Linked DNA regions of Notamacropus eugenii. The protein of the gene in region 1 purifies or fractionates together with the protein of each later gene. This does not show direct contact. Links are inferred from orthologs where the notes say so. Each region holds a gene or a part of one and is shown in the gene's direction. Other genes may lie near its edges.

What was found. Proteins that work in one complex are often made in the same cells at the same time.
Region 2: the proteins of ABCC1 (region 1) and VDAC3 fractionate together in Homo sapiens (co-fractionation; 3 studies listed by BioGRID). This does not show direct contact. The link is inferred for Notamacropus eugenii from reciprocal best matches to the Homo sapiens genes ABCC1 and VDAC3.

What each region holds. Positions count from the first base shown.
Region 1 is NC_092872.1:96,267,882-96,277,863, forward strand, and holds the start of ABCC1 (multidrug resistance-associated protein 1), read left to right. Parts: upstream 1-5,777; 5' UTR 5,778-5,863; coding exon 5,864-6,313; intron 6,314-6,325; exon of another isoform or gene 6,326-6,607; coding exon of another isoform or gene 6,608-6,655; intron 6,656-9,982.
Region 2 is NC_092872.1:618,133,108-618,143,208, reverse strand, and holds the start of VDAC3 (non-selective voltage-gated ion channel VDAC3), read left to right. Parts: upstream 1-5,696; 5' UTR 5,697-5,802; intron 5,803-6,145; exon of another isoform or gene 6,146-6,221; intron 6,222-8,906; 5' UTR 8,907-8,911; coding exon 8,912-8,978; intron 8,979-10,101. UniProt on the Homo sapiens protein: Non-selective voltage-gated ion channel that mediates the transport of anions and cations through the mitochondrion outer membrane and plasma membrane.

The sequences.
Region 1 (9,982 bases):
ACACCATGGTAATGAGTCTCTCTGTACTTGGCCATGCTGGCCTATAGGCCACAGATACATGTGACTTATCACTTCAGTATATACTTTCAGACTTTCCATTTTGGTAGAATCTGGCATAGCGTGTATTCTGTTATCATTAGCCTTCAAGAATTCAGGGTAACCTTCTTATCATGATGAAGCTACGGAATAAGAATTTAGTGGAATTTTGTTCTTAGTGAGTCTATATTGGCATTTAGTAATCAATGATTACATTTCTAAGTGCTCATGAATCATCTGTTTAATAATTCATTTTAGGAATTTTCTAGGGATCTGTGCTAAGTACACTATTCTGTAGTTTCTAGGGTTTACCTCTTCCCCCTTCTTAAAAATCAGGACTTCTCCCATCTCTGCCCCTCTTTTAGTCTTTCGGTGTTGTTTTTTTTCCTTCCATTCTTCGTAGTTACAAAAAAGAATGATTGTAGTTCACTTTTGAGGTCTCCTAGTTCTTTTGGTACACTGAGATACAATTCTAGGTTCAGAAGCTTCAACTCATTTAGGATAGCTAGGTGCTTTTATTTCTTTTATCTCTGTTTTCCTTTTTCCATTTTTGCAGATAGAGAAAACCCCATTATCTATTAACATTATACCATTGTCCTAAGGTATTCACCTATCCTTTCTTTGTTTTACTTGAACTGAAACATAGCTCTAAAAAATTCTATTTGGTGTCAGTATTTTCCACGAAGCTTAATTTATTTTTTCCACCTTTCTGGCACCTAGCACAGTGCCTGACACAGTGTAGGTGTTTAATAATACTTGATTGTTTTACTTGGCCTCCCGGAGGAAGTGGCATGAGTCTGAAAGAAAGAAAAAAGAATAGGGGATTGATAGGAATCTAGGACCAGGAAAGGAGCCCACCTCCGATTCATTGTACCCCATCTCCACCTATAGAACTACCCTGGCTTCCTTCAAGACTTAACTGAAAAGTCCTCTCCATTTGTTAATGCATTCCATGTTTTCTGCATGTATTTGTAAGTAAATAGATCAGGGGGCTGTGTGTGTGTGTGTGTGATGGACCCCCTCTGGCAGCCTGGTAAAGCCTATGGACTCCTTTTCAGGATAATGTTTTTAAAGGTATAAAATAAAATACATAGGATGTGAGCTCTTCCAGAGCAGAAACTGTCTTTTGTTCTTCTTTGTTTTCCCAGCACTAAGCTCATTGCTTGGCACATAGTAGACGATTAATATTTACTGACTGATTGACAAAAGTTACCAATCATAATGAAATAGTTATCAAAATATTTTTTAAAAACCCCACAAGTTCACAGACCTTTTATTCAGTTTGTTTCTACCTTCAGTTTGTTTGTGCATAGTTCTTGGTTTATTGTTTCCATGTTTGAAAATTTGAACTCTATAAAATCAGAGACTGCCTTTTTACCTCTTTTTGTATCTCCAGAGCTTAGCACAGTGCCTGGGACATAGTAAGCACTATATAAACATTTTATTATTATTCAGGTTGAGACATATGTTTTTGGGATGTGGCTAATTCAGGAATTTATTTTGTTTGACATTACATGATTGTAAAGGGATTTTGTTTTTCTTGCTTTCTCAGTAGAAATAGGAGAAGTGGGAGGGAGAGAAGGTAGATCTTTGAAAAAAATTAAAAAGAAAATCAAAACTAAAAACAAATAAGTATATACGTGTTTGACATACAGTGTTGCTCCTTCTACTAGATATTTTTCTTTAAAAAAATACTCTTTCAGTACTGTATTTCTGTAATGAATATTTTCCCATCAAATGTCAATACCAACAATGAGATTAGTTTTCTTGTGTTAAAAATTTTGTTACCCATGCTGTGGTTCACTGATAGACATTTAAATCCATTAATATTGTAAAGACATCCTCTTCCCTATTGTTTTGCTTCCAAGAGCACTTTCTCCATGACTGTTCTATGTCATTTCTATTTTGCCCTCTACTGCGTCTAATTTTAAAGGAATACCTTTCTTTCCAAATTTCCATTTTGAATCATCTTGATCAGATTGGCAAATCTAAAACATGCTGTTTGTTGCCTTCATAAGATATCATAGGGTATATTTAGATCTGAAAAGTACATTAGAGGTCACCACTCTTCTTCATTGGGCAATTATTCTGATATCGTCAAAATATGTGGGGCTTAGCACTTAATTTTTTTCTACCTGATTTAGGTTGTGTTTTCCTATCTGATTCATTAACTTCTTGAAGGTTAGGGTAGTGTCTTTTACTTTCTTTTGTATCTTGAAGAATACCTGACCATTCTGGGCACATGATAGGCCAAGCATTGGTAACTTTGGGGAATACATGCCAAAGGTAGGACAGGAGATATTTTCAGTGACATGCTGAAGTCCTTCTTATGTCTTATCATGGTATGGTAGTGATCTTGGGTTTTTGAAGGATCTGCCAGGAGATCATGAACACTGCCAACTTTTACCAGTGGAAAACAATGAAAACTATGGGTCTGGCAAGGAACTGTTTGTCATCCCCAAATCAGTCAAGTTGTCTCCAATAATTTATGTAGCAATTAGTAAATATTTATTAAGTGGTATCTATGTATCAGGCACTGTGCTAGGTGCTTAGGATATGAAGAAAGGCAAAATATAAAATGTGCCCTCAAGGACAATATGCAAACAAAATATATATAAACAAGCTATATATAGGATAAATGGGAAATAATCAACAGAGAAAAGGCACTAGAAATAAGGGGAATCTAACAAGGCCAAGTGGGGTTTTATTTTTTTTTTTATTTAAAATTCTTCAATTCTAAACTGTCTCTCCTCTTCTCAGCCTCTTCCACCCATCTGGAAGAGAAGAAAAACAAAACTCATTTCAAATATGTATAGTCATGCGCAACAAATTTCTGTATTTGGCATGCCACAAAAGAAAGAAAAAGAGAAAGGAAGGAAGAAAGGAAAAGGAACTATGCTTCAGGCTTCATGCTTGAGTCCTTCAACTCTTTTTTTGGAAGTGAATAACATTTTTCATAGTGAGCCCTTTGGAACTGTGGTTGGTCCTTGATCAGTTACTAAGTCTTTCAAGGTTGATTATCTTTACAATATTGTTACTTTGTAAATTGTTCTCCTGGTCCTGCTTACTTTACTTTGCACCAACTTCATACAAGTCTTCTCAAGTTTATCTGAAACCATCCCAAATGTGGAGTTTTACCTACCACCTGAAGGAAGTCAGGGAAGTCACCAAGCGGAGATGAGGATGGAGAACATTCCAGTTGTGGGGAAGACAGTGAAAAGTCCTAGTTAGGGGGTGGAATGTCTTGTTAGAGCTACAGCAAAAAGGTCAGTGTCGTTGGAATGAAGAAAGTACATGATATGTGTGGGGGATGGGGATGGGGAGTAAGCTATAAGAAGACTGGAAAGGGGGAGGCAGGTTTTGAAGGACTTTTGACACCAGACGATTTTTATATTTGATCCTGGAGGTCATAGGGAGCTACTGGAGTTAGTGACAGTCTGGAACATTATGGAGTACTCCTGTAGATGACAGATAATTGAGTATTAAAGTAAATCACCGTCACCATGGATTTCTGCAAAATTTCAAGTGAGTTTTTTTTTTTTTAATCTTCCTTTCTCCATCTATTCTCACTACCTCTAATCTCTTCTCTTAATCCACTCCCTGCCTCTCCTGGCAGCCACCAGTTAGTTACCTCATGCTTCACCCAGGCCTCATGCATCCAAATTATTCTTCTCCCCCCAATTCCTGGGGGAGATTGGCAAAACTAACTTTTGAGGGGAACAGAGGTCTGCTCTCATCTCTCTGTTAGGAAGAAGAAATCTGATGTTCAGTTTGCTGTTTTGCTTCTAGGATATGTGGTGGAGATGGAGATTTTGGGGGCTTTCCCTGACCTATGCTACCCCTTTCATTCCACTCCTCTGTTAGCATCTCTTGTACTGTTGGCTAGTATTTACAAAATTCGAAGTCTGCTAAAGCTGATTTTTATCACATTATAGGCAGTCATTCCCTCAGTCAACAAGCATTTAGTAAGCCTTCCCCATGCCAGACCCTGTACTAAGCTCTGGAGATACAAAGAAAGGCAAATGCAGAGTCCTTACCCTTAAGGAGCTAACAATCTACTCGGAGAGACCACATGGAAATACATGTTCACACAAGATACATACAGTGCAAATGGGTTGTATGGAAATCCATATCCTTTATTTCAGTCACTGTTCTCTCGCTTTGGTCTCAGTGTTGTGTGGTGCTGGCCAGGTGCCCAGAGTCTCTGTGTACACAGACTATTACCGTATTTGTTTTCCTTGCCAGAACCTCATAAGGGGAGGGAGGTGAGAGGGGGTGTTGCCATAAGCGCATAGAGAGAAGCAATAGCTCTTGGACGACTTAGGGAACTAGCAAATAAATTAAAGCAAACTTTAATAAGAACAAAAACCAAACCTGCCCATGCTGTTACCAGACTTCTTTAAAGTCACCATCACCACTTTGTCAAAGATAAAAAGTATTTTGTCAATCAGTAGCTATTCTCCTGTGATCACTGAACAGCCTTCATCCTCCCCGATTTGATCCTACATAGATGAGATTTGTACTTACATAACTCCAGGTTTTGTTTTATTTTGAAATCACATCAAGGAGAAAAATAGGGAGTAGGGAGGCAAGGAATCCATAAGATAAGTTTACTGTTTCTCATTTCTTTGTACTTGGATTCCTAGTGCCTAGCACAGAGCCTGACACAATCCAGCCACTTAATAATACTTGGGCCTTCCGGAAGAAGTGGTGTTTTAAGAGTTGTTAGTCTGAAAGGAAGAAATTAGACTAGGGGACTGACAGAGATGTAGGACCAGGAAAGGAGCCCACCTCTGCTTCATTCTGCTCTTGGTTTAAGACTGATCTGGCCTCTCATCTCCACCTATTGAATTACCCTGGCTTCCTTCAAGGCTCACCTCAAAGGCCCCTCCATTTGTTAATGAACTTCATCTTTTCTGCATATATTTTGTAAGTATATAGATCAAGGGGCTGTGTGTGTGTGTGTGTGTGTGTGTGTGTGTGTATGTTTGTGGTGAACCCTTCTGGCAGTGTGGTAAAGCCTATGGACTCCTTTTCAGAGTAATGCTTTTAAATGTATAAGATAAAATACATAGGATGTAAGCTCTTCCAGAGCAGAAAGTTGTCTTTTGTCTTTCTTTGTTTCTCTAGTGCTAAGCTCATTCTCTAATACATACTGGGTACTTAATGTGTATTAACCGATTGACAAAGGTAATCAATCATCATGAAATAGTTAACAAAATATTAAAAAAAAACCCCTCAGAAGCCACACACCCTTTATTCAGTTTGTTTACAGATAGTTGTTGGCTCATGGTCTCCATCTAGTGACTTGTGAGCTCTTTGTGTCTCTAGAGTTTAGCACGGTGCCCGGCACAGAGTAAATGTTACTGTTGTAACGTTCCCCTTTAGAACTGTAAGCTCCTTGGGGGCAGGGACTTTCTTTAACCTCTTTTTATGCCCCCGGTGCCTGGCACATAGTAAGTACTATACATAAACATTATCATTTTTGCTGCAATGGTTACTATTACTGTCTTCCCCTTTTAGAACTGTAAGCTCCTTGGGGGCAGGGACTTTCTTTAACCTCTTTTTATGCCCCCGGTGCCTGGCACATAGTAAGTACTATACATAAACATTATCATTTTTGCTGCAATGGTTACTATTACTGTCTTCCCCTTTTAGAACTGTAAGCTTCTTGGGGGCAGAGACAGTTTTTTTCCCACCCCCCAGCGCTTAGCACACCTTTATGTTTGACTGGTTTGATCCTAGATTTTCTCCCAGGTGTCTGCCCCCATTAGAATGTACAGCTCCCTAGAAGGCTGGGACTAGTGGAGTGAGTGTGTGTGTATGTATGTATGTGTGTCTGTACATGTTTTCTATGTATCCTCAGCATGTTTGTGTGTATGTACGTGTTTTCTCTGTATCCCCGGCGTGTGTGTGTCTGTGTGCGTGTCTGTGTGCGTGTGTGTACGCGTTTTCTCTGTATCCCCGGCGTGTGTGTGTGTCTGTGTGTGTCTGTGTGTGCGTGTGTGTACGCGTTTTCTCTGTATCCCCGGCGTGTGTGTGTGTCTGTGTGTGTCTGTGTGCGCGTGTGTGTGTACGCGTTTTCTCGGTATCCCCGGCCCTGGAACACGATGAACGTTTCCTCCGTGTGTCTGGCTGCTCGCTCGGCCGAGGGACCAGGGCGCTGGTTCGGGAGGGCGGCATTTGGGGCGGCCCGGGATGGGCAGGCAGAGGGCCGCCCCGCGCCCCCGCCTTCCTCAGTTTCCCTCCCCAGCCCCCACCCCCAGCGCTTCCGAAGGTGAGCGCGGACGACTGGGCGGAGCCGGGCCCCATCCCGGTGACGTGCGGGCCAACCAGGCGGCGTTGCGGCTGCCCGGGTTACCTCCCGGCCCGCCGCGGCCGCCGACGCCTCCTCCTCCTCCTCCTTCGCCTCCTCCCGGCTTTCTCCTCTCCCCTCGGAGCAGCCGCCGCCGCCTCTGACGCCTCCAGCCTCCGCACTCGCTGCCGCCGCCGGCAGCTCGGCCGCCGGTCCATCCGTCCTCCCGCCGGCCCGGCCCGGCCCCGGCCCCGGCCCCGGCCCCGGCCTGGCCACATGGCGTTCCTTCGTTTCTGCAGCGCGGACGGCTCCGACCCGCACTGGGTAGATAACGCGCGGGGTTGGGGAGAGGCCGCTCCTGGGCTGGGGAGGGCAGGGCCGGCCCGGGGCCGCCCGAACGGGACCCTGGACGCCCCGCCGGGCCAGCCCCCGGGCCGCGGGAGGGCGAGCCGGGACTTACTGGTCCGGCCCGGCAGGGCCACCTGGACTGCAGCTTCGGAACCTGGGGGAGGGGACGGCCGCGGCATCCTGCCCGGCACGCTCCGGGGGCGCCCGCCGAGCCTGCCCCCCGCTGCTCACCCCAGGCGCCGGCGGAGACTCGGCGGGTGGGAGTCTGTTTGGGGCGAATTGGGAGCCCCAGGAGAAGGGGGTGCCGGGGGTGGGGCGTCTACTTAAGTGGTGAAAATGGCTGGGCGCTGACTTCCCCATCTGCCCCTTACCCCGCCTGCCCCTTATCTCTGTCTGCCCCTTACCCCCCCCCCCCCCCCGCGCCTTACACCCCCATCTACCCCTTACTCCCATCTGCCCCTTAGCCTCCCCTCCCGTGGGACCCTCGGTGGAGAGAAGTGTAGGGAGAACTTCAGTGCCCCAGCCGCGTGACTTGAGTAGCCCACGTCCCTGGGGAGTACACGCGTGGCTTAGCTTTGAGACTGAAAAGAGCACGCGGGGGATGGGGCTTTGGGTTGTGTGGATGTGGGAGCTTGTCTGGGGGGCTCCCGGCCCGGCTCGGCTGCTGCCTTTCAGCTGAGTGAGTGGCATTGGGGGCATTTCATTAGATCCACAGAGGTACTTTTCCTTCTTGTGGTTCCATGCAAAGAAATGCACTTAGGGGATTTGGTGGAAAGTTTGGGGTTGATTCTGACTCCTCCCTCCAAGTCAGGGAATGAATTTATTGTGGGCCCCCATTGGAAGTCACAAAGCGTGACCGAGCTCTGCTGTGTGTTGTCCTTTCTTTGTGCCACTGGGGGAAACCACTAGAAGGGACCACTAGGCAGGAGGTCGGGTTCCCCACTGCTGATGCTCTGGGCTCAGTAGCCGGGGAAGTCAGAAACAAAACAAAACACTGTAACAGTAAAAAATGAATCCCGTGGTAGTTTGGTGCAGGAGGTTTTTGAGGAGGCATCTCCAGGAGTGAGGGACCTGAGAACACATAATCAGGATGCTCCAAGGAGGATCCGTGTTAACTCACATTATTACCTTTCCTTAGTTGAGAGTTACTTTCACCATGGCAAACATTGTTTCCTCCTCTGTCTTGAATTAGGGAGTTAGACTTAACAGAAGCTTGGTTACAATGTAAGTTCTCTGACCACATCTGGACTGGAAACTATGTGGGGTCTTTAACGAGGGATTGTTAGGGGGAGGGGAAGAAATTCCTTGTAATCCAGAAGTGGGTAATGGGAGGTCCAACACCCTAAATGCATTCTTTTCATTGTTTTCCTTGCTTCTCTGCATCATAAACTGCATTCAGGTTGTTTGTGTAATTCCTCCCGTTGCCTCAGTAGTACTAGAGGTGCCCGCTCAGTATGGCAGAGCTGAAATGAGCCACTTGTCCTGTTTTCGGTTCACTGGAATATGATATTTAGTCTAGTCTGGAAATATTTAAGATCCTTTAGAGAGATTTAGCAACACAATTTCTACAATGACCAAATGAGATAATATTTTTACAAGACACGTAGCGCAGTGCCTGGCACATAGCAATCCCTGTATAAATGCTTATTCCCTTCCCCTCCCTTTCTCTACAAGGGCCAACTGTAGCAGTCAGGTTGTTGTAGTGGAACTGTTTTGGTTCAAATCCTGTCTCAGGCACTTTTATTACCTAGGTAATCAACCTCTCTGAGCCTGTTTTCTTATCTGTAGAATTCAACTCATCATGGCAGTACCTTTGTTAACCTCCCAACTGTGATTGTGAGGAGCAGCTAGGGGCAGGAGTAAGGAGGACCTGAATTCAAATCTCACCTTAGACACTTGACACTCACTTGCTGTGTGACCTTGGGCAAGTCACTTAAACCCAATTGCCTCATCCTGAGTCATCTCCAGTCATCCTGATGAATCTGGTCACTGGATTCAGATGGCTCTGGAGGAGAAGTGAGACTGGTGACCTTGCACAACAGCCCTCCCTCACTCAAAACAAAATCAAGTGCAAATCATGTCATCATTTCTCTGATGGCATGGTCTTCTTGGGCATCGAAGGATGAACACACATATGATTGAGGATCAAGTGAGACAATGTTTATAAAGCCTTTTGTAAACCCAAAAGCCATAGGTATGTGCCTAATAAATTATTATTACCAGTGGAACTGCTTTAGTGGGAGTTGAGGAGAAAGGTTGAGGCTTTTTCTTCCATTTGTCATCTTACCATTTGTGGCACATAGTTCTGTCAGAATTCATTTGGCTTTGTCAAATTGCTAGTTACCTTGAAATGATGGCAGTTTGTTTTTTCCTAAGTTAATGGAAAATTAGTAAATGATCCTTAGGAGACCACATATTTTCTAGGAAAAGGCTGCTGTTTGCTAATATTTTTCCCTTGAAAATTGTTATGTGGTGATCTTACCAGTTGCCTTAATTCAGGAAAACTCACTCAGGAAGAATCTAAATCTGCCAATTTAATTGTGCCTTTCTGAAATTTTCTGCCATACCTTTCTAGCCAGGTAAATAATAGTCACCAAAGGGCCTCTCCTTAGTTACTAACTGGTCTTTTCTTGCCTGCTAAGAGAGTCATGGCAAACCAGGCCAGTGTGTCACTCCTTTTCTAAAATGCCCTAGTGAATGAGTGGGTGGGGAAGAAGGAAAGCAGGAAAGAAGGCATTAATAAACACCGTAGACAGTTGCATGAGAATAGATGAGAGGACTCCCTGGACATACCTAACCTGCATGCCAATAACATCCAAGCACTAATAAGGCCCTAGTCTAATAGTATGCTGCCCTTCTTATGGGAAGATGGTGTAATTTGTGTTAATCTGATTTCCTCTGTGGTATATTTTTTCCTGGTGGTGGAGACAGGTTGCATTGAGCCATCTGTACTCAGGACAAAGGCCTCCTTGCCATTAAGACCTTACATTTTTTTGTAAGACAGCAGTCTAGGTCCTGGAGGGTGTTGGCTAGAGTTAGATGCCTTACCGTTGTGAGGGAATGGAGGCATTTCCTGGCCTTTAGGTAAATCACATCTGTTATAATGGCTTCCCTTTAGCCAACTGACCATAGATCTGAAATAGGAATCCGAAAAAGACTAATGTATATTTGTTATTAGCAATAATTGTTGTTCACTTCTTTCATTTGTGTCCTGACTCATTGTGACCCCATTGGGTTTTTCTTTTTTTTTCTTTGTTAGTAATTAATTTGTTTTTAATTTTCAACAATCACTTCCATAAGTTT
Region 2 (10,101 bases), about 520 Mb from region 1:
CAGATCATGAGTTTCTTATTGCAAAATTAGGCTTAAATTGAAGAAAGTAGTGAAAACCATCAGACTGAATAGGTATGACCTAAATAAATAACATCCCTTATGAAGTGGAAGTGATGAATAGATATAAGGCTTTTGCTCTGATAGAGAGAATGCCTGAAGAATTATGAACAGAGATTTGCAATACTGTACAGGAGCCAGCAACAAAAAACATTTCAAAGAAAAAAAAAGAGCAAGAAAGCAAAATGGCTGTCTGATGAGGCTTTACAAATAGACGAAGAAAGTAGGAAAGCTGTATCTAATTGAATGCAGAATTCCAGAGAGTTGCAAGGAAAAATAAGAAAGTTTTCCTAAATGAGCAATGCAGAGAAATAGAAGAAAACAACAGAATGGGAAAGACAAGAGATCTCTTCATGAAAATCAGAAATATCAGGGGAAAATTTCATTTAAAAAAATGGGCATGACAAAAGGCAAAAATGGTAGGGACTTAAGAGAAGTAAAAGAGATTAAGAAGAGTTAGAAAGACCATACAGAAGAACTATACAGGAAAGACCTCAATATTACCTGTAACCATGATGGTGTGGTTACTGATTTGGTTAGACACCCTGCAGAACAAAGTCAAGTGGGCCTTAGGAAACATTTCTAACAATAAGGCTAGTGGAGGTGAAGGAATTCCAACTGAGGTATTTAAAATCCTAAAGGATGATGTTGTTAAAATACTAAACTCAATATGCCAACAAATTTGGAAAACTCAATAGCAACCACTGGATTGTAAAAGATCAATTTATGTACCAATCTTAAAGCGCAACATCAGAGAATCTTCAAATTATTGAAGAACCACACTCATTTCACATGCCAGCAAGGTTATGCTTAAGATTCTGCAGACTAGTCTTAAGCAACATGTGGCCCAAGAATTACCAGAAGAGCAGGATGGTTCTTGAAGAGGCAGAGGAATTAGAGACCAAATTGCCAGCATTTGTTGCATTACAGAGAAAACAAGGAAGTTCCAGAAAAACTACTTCTGCTTCACTGACTACACTAATCAAACCTGGAACAACTGATTGGCTTAAGATTGGAAAAGGAATATGATAACGCTATATATTGTAACCCTATTTACTTAACTTATATGCAGAAAATAATATGCAAAATGCCAGACTGGACAAAACAAAAGCCAGAATTAAGGTTGCCAGAAGAAGTAAGTCTGCTGATGAAGGTGAAAGAGGACAGTGTAAAAGCTGGCTTGAAGCTTAACATAAAAAAACTAAGATCTTGGCAACTGGTCCCATCACTTCTTGGCAAACAGAGGGAGAAGAAATGGAAGCAGTGTTAAATTTTATATTCTTGGGCTTAACGACCACTGCAGACAGTAGCAGCAGCTATGAAATTAAAAGATGCTTGGTCCTTGGAAGGAAAGCTATGGCAAATCTGGACAGCATATTAAAAAACTGAGACATTATCTTGCCAACAAAGGTCCATATAGTCAAAGCTAGGGTTTTTCCACTGGCAATGTATGGCTGTGAGGGTTGGACTATAAGGAAAGCTGAGTGCCACAAAATCAATACTTTCAAACTGTGGTGCTAAGAAGACTTTTGGGATTCCCTTGGACAACAAGGAAATCAAATCAATCAATAATTAAAGAAATTAATTCAAATTGAATTGTCAAATACTGAAGCTGAAGCTTAAATATTTTGGCCACATAATAAGACAGGACACGTTGGAAAAGACTAAAAGGTTGGGAAAGATTGAAGGCAAATGGAAAAGGGGACAGCAGAGGATGAAATGGATAGTGTCATGGAAGCAATGAACATGACCCTGGACAGATATCAAGAGGTAGTGGAAGATAGAAGGGTCTGACGGCTACAGTCCATGGGTCATAAAGTGTCAGATACAACTAAATGACTGAACAATAACAACAACAACTTGTGACATTAAGGTTCTGGAGGTAGCTTTCATCATTCTCTTCTCCCAAAAGAATATAAACAGTTCATCCTTATAAAGTTTCTTCCTATTGTTCCCTTGTATTAATTTTTTATGTTTCTTTTGCCTCCTGTGTTTACATTTCAAAGTTTCCAATCAGTTCTGGTCTTTTCATCAGGAGTGCCTGGAAGTCCTATGTTTCATTGAAGGTCTATTTTTCTCTCCTGTAAGATTACAATTGTTATTTTTGGCTGTAGGCCTACATCTTTTGCCTTTTGGAATATTACATTCCATGCTCTTATACCGGTAGCTGATAAATTTTGTGTGATCAAAACTATGGTTCCTCAGTTCTTGAGAATTTTCTTGCTGGCTACTTTGACCTGGAAGCTCTAGACTTTGTCTATGATGCCCTTGAGAGTTTTCACTTTGGAGTTTCTTTCAAGAGATGATTGATGGATTCTTTTCTATTTTCAATTTGCCCTTGTTTTAACAGATCTGGGCAGTTTTCTTTCATAATATCTTGAAATATGATACCCAGACTCCTTTTTTGGTCATGCATTTCTGGTACTCTTAAATTATCAATCCTTGTTTTATTTTCCAGGCCAGTTGCTTTTTGATGTGAGATATCTTACATTTTCTCTATTTTTTTCAGTCTTTTATCTTAATATTTTTTTCTCTCCTAGAGTCATTAACTTAACTCTGTTCAGTTCATTGTAATTTTCAAGGTGTCTGTTATTTGGGTAAGGTCTTGTACCTCTTATGCTTAGCTGCCAATTCTTTTATGATTCTCTCCTCCATACCTCCATTTCTTTTCAATTCCTTCCTTTAGTGTTTTCATCTAACTTATAGTAGTTTTAAATGCTTTTTAAAAACCCAACAAATCTCGTTTCATGTCTTCTAGAGACTGTAATTGATTTTGTACCAATTTGTAGTGGGTTTTATTTTTGTTTTTTTGAGACTTTGCTTTAAAAGTTTTAGAATTATTCTCTTCTTCTGAATTTGTGACTTGGTTATACCTGGTATCATAATGGTGTTTTGTCTTTTTTTATTTACTCATTTCCCCAGTTTTACTTCATAGATTAGGATTTTGTCTTAGGGTCAGGCACTGCTCATTTCTGGTGAAACTCATTGCTTTGAATAGTTCTGGCCTATTTTATCCGTAGTTCTGCTGCTGGGGTCAGAACAACCATGCTTTGGCCCATGCTTCAGCACTGAACTTGAGTCCCAAGATCCCTTCTCGTGGGTTATAGAGTCAGAGTTGTGGTTCTCTTCTGCTCCAGAAGTTTGGTTCTGAGATTCCCTCTCTTGGGTAGAACAACAGCACCATGGGCCTTAACAGAGCTGGAATCCCTGTGCCATGCAGCTATATCCCAAGTCTCAGATTCCCTCTTCAAGCAATTACATGGAAAATGCTGAGGCCCTATTCTTTGTATGGGAATGAGTCCAACCTGGATTAAAGAAATAGACCTATACTCAAGGCCTGAGTCTGAGATCTTAATCTCCCTATTTTGCTCCTGGAGTCTGGCTCCATGTTCTGAGGCTGCCTCTGTTTCAGAGTTCCTGCCCTGGTCTCTTGCCTGTGGGCTGAACCTGTTTTGGAAAGATGATCCACTCTGATCTCTTCCTAGATTTCTGATCACTATTCAATCTTGTACTTGTCTGAGATCTTTGTTCATATAGGGGTTGGAATGAATAGGCTGGAAGGACTGTCCTCCTATTCCACCAGCTGGCTAGTCTCAAACCATTCTAGCAATGTGATTTTTGAGGCACTTATCAAGAAGTACCTCATCAGAAAAAACTGAAAAGACTTAGATAAACCGATACAAACTGAAGTGAGTAGAACCAGAACATTGTACACAGTAAGAGCAACATTTTGCAATGATCAACTATAACTGACTTAACTCTTCTCAACAATACAATGATCCAAGGCAATTTCAAAAGACTCATGATGGAAAATGCTATCCACATCCAGAAAAGGAACCTGATGGAGTCTGAACGCAGATCAAAGCATATCATTTTCACTTTTTTTTTTTGTAGTTTTTTTCCTTTTATTGTTTCTTCTTTCATAACATGACTAACATGAAAATGAGGTTTACATTATTACACATATATCAAATTGCTTACCTACTTAGGGAGGAGGGAGGGGAAAGAGTAAGAGAGAAAATTTGGAACTCAACATTTTATTTTAAAAATGGATGTTAAAAATTGTCTTTATATACAATTGAAAAAATATTAGAAGTACCTGATCACTTCTACATGTCTTGGTAGGTTTTCTCCATGAGATGCTGTGACTAAATTTCCTCAGAGTAAGCTAGAAAGATCCTTGGACAAGGCATATGCAGTCCATGGTCATGCCCATATTTAAAGCTTTCCAAATCTGGTAGGTCCTGAGAACTCAGGTTCACCCACATGCTAACTTTAAATGTTGGACTATTTAAGTAGGAGACTAAGGTGAAAAATAACTGACTCCTGATATTTCCATTATTTGTGAAGAATGAGGAAAGAGTAGAAAGGGGAAGAAAGCCAAATTATTCTGAGGCTGTAATTTTAGCAGACTATTATTTGAGATAAATCTTAGGGGAGAATTTTTTCAATACCTAAGGGAAGGAGAACAGGCTCATGTAGATGAGTTGAGGTTGCTCTCATAGGGAAGAAAGACCAAGGCCTTTGAAAAAAGAGCTATTGAAAAGAACAATTTCCATATCTCTGTTCATACTGCCCTCATGTCAACGGCTCAGGCCAGTCCAGGTTAGATCTCTTCTTCAAGGCAATGTGATGCAAACACAATGTAATGTGCAGTTAATGGACTTGGATTTCAACCCTGCCTCTAGCACTCATTAAGTGGGCCGCCTAGGGCAGAACACTGGACTTCTCAGAGCTTTGGTTTCCTGATCTATAAAATGTGGGGGTGGATAGAAGAGACTAAGTGACCTTCTGGATACCTTCCAAACTGAAATACGTAATATGATATAGGTTTCTTAAGACTTATCTGATTTAACTTCAGGCTTTGTAGGAAGGTCCCAGTCAATAAATAAACCGTCCTTTTCTACTTGATCTCATAACACACCACTCCCTCCCCCCCCCCCCCCCCCCCCCCCCCCGTTGTTGTGAGGATCAAATAATAATTGTAAAGAGCTTAGCACAGGGCCTGGCCTATGCTAAGGCCTACAGAAATGTTAGCTACTACTATCACGTCATTTAATTTTTAACCATTTCCGGGTAAAGCATAAAATTAAAACGTCCAAAGCGTCCACTCAGGATGGAAGCAGAATGGTCCAGGGCCAGGGGTGGGGGACCTGCGGCCTCCGGGCCACACGTGGCCCTCTAGGGCCTCGAGTGCAGCCCTTTAACTGAATCTAAACCTCACACGAATAATTTCAAGCTTCCTCATCTGGACTAGGTGGTCTCTAAGGGCTCTTCCAGCTCCGACACCTTAGGTCCTCAAGCGCGGCCCTCACTGCGAGGCCTCGAGAGGCCGCAGGTTCCCCACCTCCTAAATAATACAAAATACAACCCCACTCATTCACCGCGCCCTTCGAAGCGTCTGCCAAGCCCTTCATATTCTCCAGCGCGACCTTCACAACCACCTCCGATGATGACCTTCTCCATCTCTCTAGGAGCAGACTGGAGCGGGAGCACGGCAGTGACTCCCCCAGGGTCACACGGAGCCGCACCTGGAAAGGACGTCGAAGTCCCAGGCTCGCCCTCCGGACCAGCCACGCTCCGCCTTCTCACGCCTCGGTAACAGAAACCGGTCCCGCCCACGGCAGTTCTCGCGAGAGCAGCCACGTTCCGCGATGGTCGTACTCTTCTAGCGTCCATCCCGTCGCTCGCCCAGCCCCTCGGCCACCCTGTGTGTCGGGGACCCTTCCCGCGCACGTGTACACGGTAAGCGACAGAGGGTCCGGAACTTGTGGGGATAGCTTGGCGCCCTCCCAGACACCTTGGTTCTCCCTTTCCCCCCACCACCCCACGCCTCGCCGCTCCGCCACTCCCCTCGGCAGGTGCCAGAAAACCAGAGCGCAGGCGCCACCGAAGCGCCGCTCAGGGGTGGGGTTGGGAGAGCGGCTGGGGCGGGGCGGGGCGGGGCGGAAGAAGCAGCGTGCGGCGGTGCGCAGGCGCCACCGAAGCGCCGCTCCGGGGTGGGGTTGGGAGAGCGGCTGGGGCGGGGCGGAAGAAGCAGCGTCCAGCGGTGCGCAGGCGCCGCTCTGGGACAGCGATTTCGGCGCAGGCGCAGGCGGGGTCGGTGTGGAGAAGACCTTCAGCTTTGCCCTGGTGAAGAGGAGAGAGTGGCTTCTCAGTTAGAGGTGAGGAGGCCGCAGGCTCGCGCGCTACGCAGGCCGGCCCGAGGCTGGGGGGACGGCTCTGGGGATTGGGGTGGAATACGAAGAGAAGGCGGAATGGACGGGGGGAGGAGAAGAGAACGCTTTGTAACTGTGAGAGCGGCGTCTTGGGGGCGGGGAAGCGCCGGAATAGGGGAGTGGTGAGAGAGAGGGAGGGAGCGAGGCTGGAGGTTTTGTGTTGGGGCAGAGGGGGCTGGGCCGGGCCGGGCCGGGCCGGGCGGGCGAGCAGACGCGGGGGGAGGGGGAGCCCGCCCCTTCTCAGCCCTAATCTGAATGTCTGGAGCGCCTACCGCGAGCCTCCGAACGTGCCCGGGAGCGTGCCGGGGTGCGGGGGGCTGTCACCTGCTCCCGGAACTTGGCGCCCGGACCCCCCGCTGGGGTCCGTAGGAGGAGCCGCGGCCGCGCCGGCGCCCTTGGGTCCTGGCGTCTCTGCCCAAGCTCCGTTAATAGAGGAAAGGTGATCGTAGTGGAGGAAAATTGTTCCTCTGGAGTGCTAGGGTTCCCTCCGAGATAAGCTGTTTAAAGTCCAACCGAGGACGTGCTCTGTCCAGAACTCCGAAGGCGTGACCCGGGGCGGCTGACATAGTAACGAAATCTCGGTGATTTGTTCTTTGAATTTCTCTAAAAACTAGCTACACGTGGTGCGTACCGGAGCTCAGTAGCTCGAATTCACTTAGATAACTTGCACAAAACATCACTGACTCTGTAGCAAAAGGAAGCACCAGATGCTTCTTACCCACCGTTTTTTAAAATGCCATTAATTAACATTTGGAAAAAATGACATTGGGCCAAGAGAGTAGAAATCAGTAAAGAAAACAGAAACTAGATCATAAAATTTGCACTAAGTATTTGGGGGAGGTTTTGAAGTTGAGTAAAAAACTAAAACACTTTGTAGGAATAAATTAGACAGTGTCTCCTAAAAATAAAAACATTATAGAGACTTTAATAAGGTCTTATTTGTAAGATAAAATTGTTCTAGAAGTAAAATGTGAAACTTTATTTCAGGACAAAATTAAAGTTTATACTATTTAGTGAGGTTGATAGAGATCATTCATTACTCTTTTTTGAACAGGTAAACTTTTTTCTTTAATTTTTTTTTTTTTGCAGTATTCTGTGGGTTTAGATTAAATAACTAGCCGAGGGCTAGGTTTAAGAATGGGATCATTCACTTAACATATTTTTTAATAAGTATGCGAATAGTCCAGGTACCCAGACTGTGCCTTCAGGAGCACTATGTTTCCTAGTAATAATCACAAGTTTGACCAAAGGGACACTTTGAAATCGTTCTGCACTTGCTTGATTTAGTCTTTTAAATCTGAGCGTCAGAAACGTAACCTACTGCAGGAATAGATTTCTTATTAAAATAAAGAGGGCAGAGAAACGTGAGACCCACAAATGCAATGTCTTCTCTGAGAACTTGGCAAAAATGATGATGGCAAGTGATGAATATTTCATAATGAAGGTGAAAGTTCAAGCCACTTTGGACTTTTGAAAAATTTCATCTTTGGCTTTGCACCATTTTTATCTTGGGATCAGAAAGATTTTCAGCCCCATAGATTATTGTATATAGGCCTGGTTTCAGAACTCCATTTTTAGTGAATGATGTTCAGTTGTAGGATAATTCATTTTTTGAAGGACTGAATTTGCAAAGTTGTGTTGAGTTTGTTGTCTTCTTTTCCAGGGTTCATAAAAGGTTTCCCTGCTGTGCTTTTTGTTTATTTCGTTGTTGTCTTTTGTGTTTACATACCCGTCATTTCTTACCCTTTATGTCCCAAGGTTGAACTCTCCCTTGTGACAATGAAAACTCTTTTGCCACTATGTTCAATAAAGAAACCTTGTCTGACAATGTGTACGATATTCTGTCTTAGTAGTCTCCCACCTCTGCTATGGAGGTGTGTTCAGTATCTCTTTTCCAAGGCCCTTATTGATTTTTTCGTTACTTGAGATTCAACTGCCTTTTGGTGATCTTTTCATTTACCTTAACGAAGTCATTTTGTATATTCTCATGGTTCTGCTTATTTTACTCTGCAGCTGAGATGCTTTTTACTTCGATTTTTATAACATCCTTAGAGAGGTTTTTTGCATGTTGTTTAAAAAACATCTCAAACATTATTGATTTGTATATCTGGTTGCATTTAAAAGAAGAGTTCTTTTATATTCTATCAAGAGCATCTCCGAATATTGTAAGAGTGCTTTTTTAGTTTTCATCTGGAAAAGATCCCTTAGAAACAACAGAATGATCTCCTAGGATTTTATGTCTTTTAGCCTTTTATAATTGTGTCATCTGATGGTTAACAAAATTTAATTTAAATACGGGAATGTGTTACCAAGTGTGTTTTTTTTCCTAGTATTGTATTATTACAGGCCTGGATGCAAACGTCTCTCTTGTTGCTCATTTCTGAGCATGTTAAATGTTAATTTAGTCATGTTAAATGTTGAAATCTGGAGTGTATCTAAATAGTAGATGAGCTTTAAGCTTCTTAGAGTTAAATACTTCTTTGATACTGATAAGATTTTGATACTGATAATTTAACTATTTGCTTTTCTTGTGTTAATGAGAGAGCACTAGCCCTTTTATTGAACGAGGTAATGGAAGAGCTATTCTGTTTGTTTTAAATAATTCTATTTCTTTGTTTCTGTTTTTCTCAGAAGAAATGTGTGACACACCAACTTACTGTGACCTAGGAAAGGCTGCCAAAGATGTCTTCAACAAAGGATATGGTATGTATGCTGTTACTGAATTTTTGTTCCTTTGCTTGTAAAATAGTGTTATTATTTTAACTGATTTCATGTTGTTTAGAGAGGTAACAAACAGGTTTATATTAAAGCCCTGATACTCATTAAGAGAAGAAATATATTTTAAGACACTTTTTTTTGCTTTTATTTTATTGCTAGTTCTATAACATATTCTTGTTAGGCAGTGCAGAAGACTGGCAAATAAGTAGTCAGATACCGTGTTTACCCATAATCATAGAATTTCAGGGTTGGAGTGGATCTCAGTAATCATGTAGTCCAACTCATGCCCCAAAAAGAATCCAAATTACCATATACCCAAACGAATAGTCATCTAACCTTTGTTTGAAGACCTCCATTGAGAGGGAATCCACTACATCTCCAGGTTGCCTATTCTATTTTTGGACAATTCTAATTGTTAGTTTTTCCTGACATTGAGATTAAGTTGCCTCTTTGCAGCTTATGGTTGCTTGTGGTTTTGCCTCCAAGGCCCAACAGAATAAATGCAATATCTCTTCCACATGACAGCCTTTCATGTACTTGAAAATAGCGATTATAACCCTTAACAGTCTTTTCTTCAAGCCCTATATCCCCAGTTATTTTACCTAATGCACGTACAGAATGGGTTCAAGACCCATCATTATCATAGTTGCCCTTGAGCTTATCAGTGCCCTTCCTAAGCAGTGACACTGACAAAATCATTTATTTATCTGGTGCAATGGATAGAAATCCAGGCCCAGAATCAGTCTAATCTTCCCGAGTTCAAATCTGACCTCAGACAACTAGCTTTGTGATCCTGGGCAAGTCAGTTAACTATTGGCCTTAGTTTCCTCATCTGTCAAATGAGTTAGAGAAGGAAATTGCAAACCACTCCAGTACTTATATCAAGAAAACCCCAAATGAGGTCACACAGAATTGGACATGACTGAACAACAATTTGTGTAGGGATCTCAGTGGCTGAAAAATCTTTTTAAGTTGAATTGTGCTGATGTTATTTTCCTTTGCTGAACATAGTATTACAACTACTCAGTAAATGTTATGATACTTAGCTGTCTTTTTTAGCTTGGATATATAGGTGCATATGTCAGCTTTTATATATGTTTTATAGTGT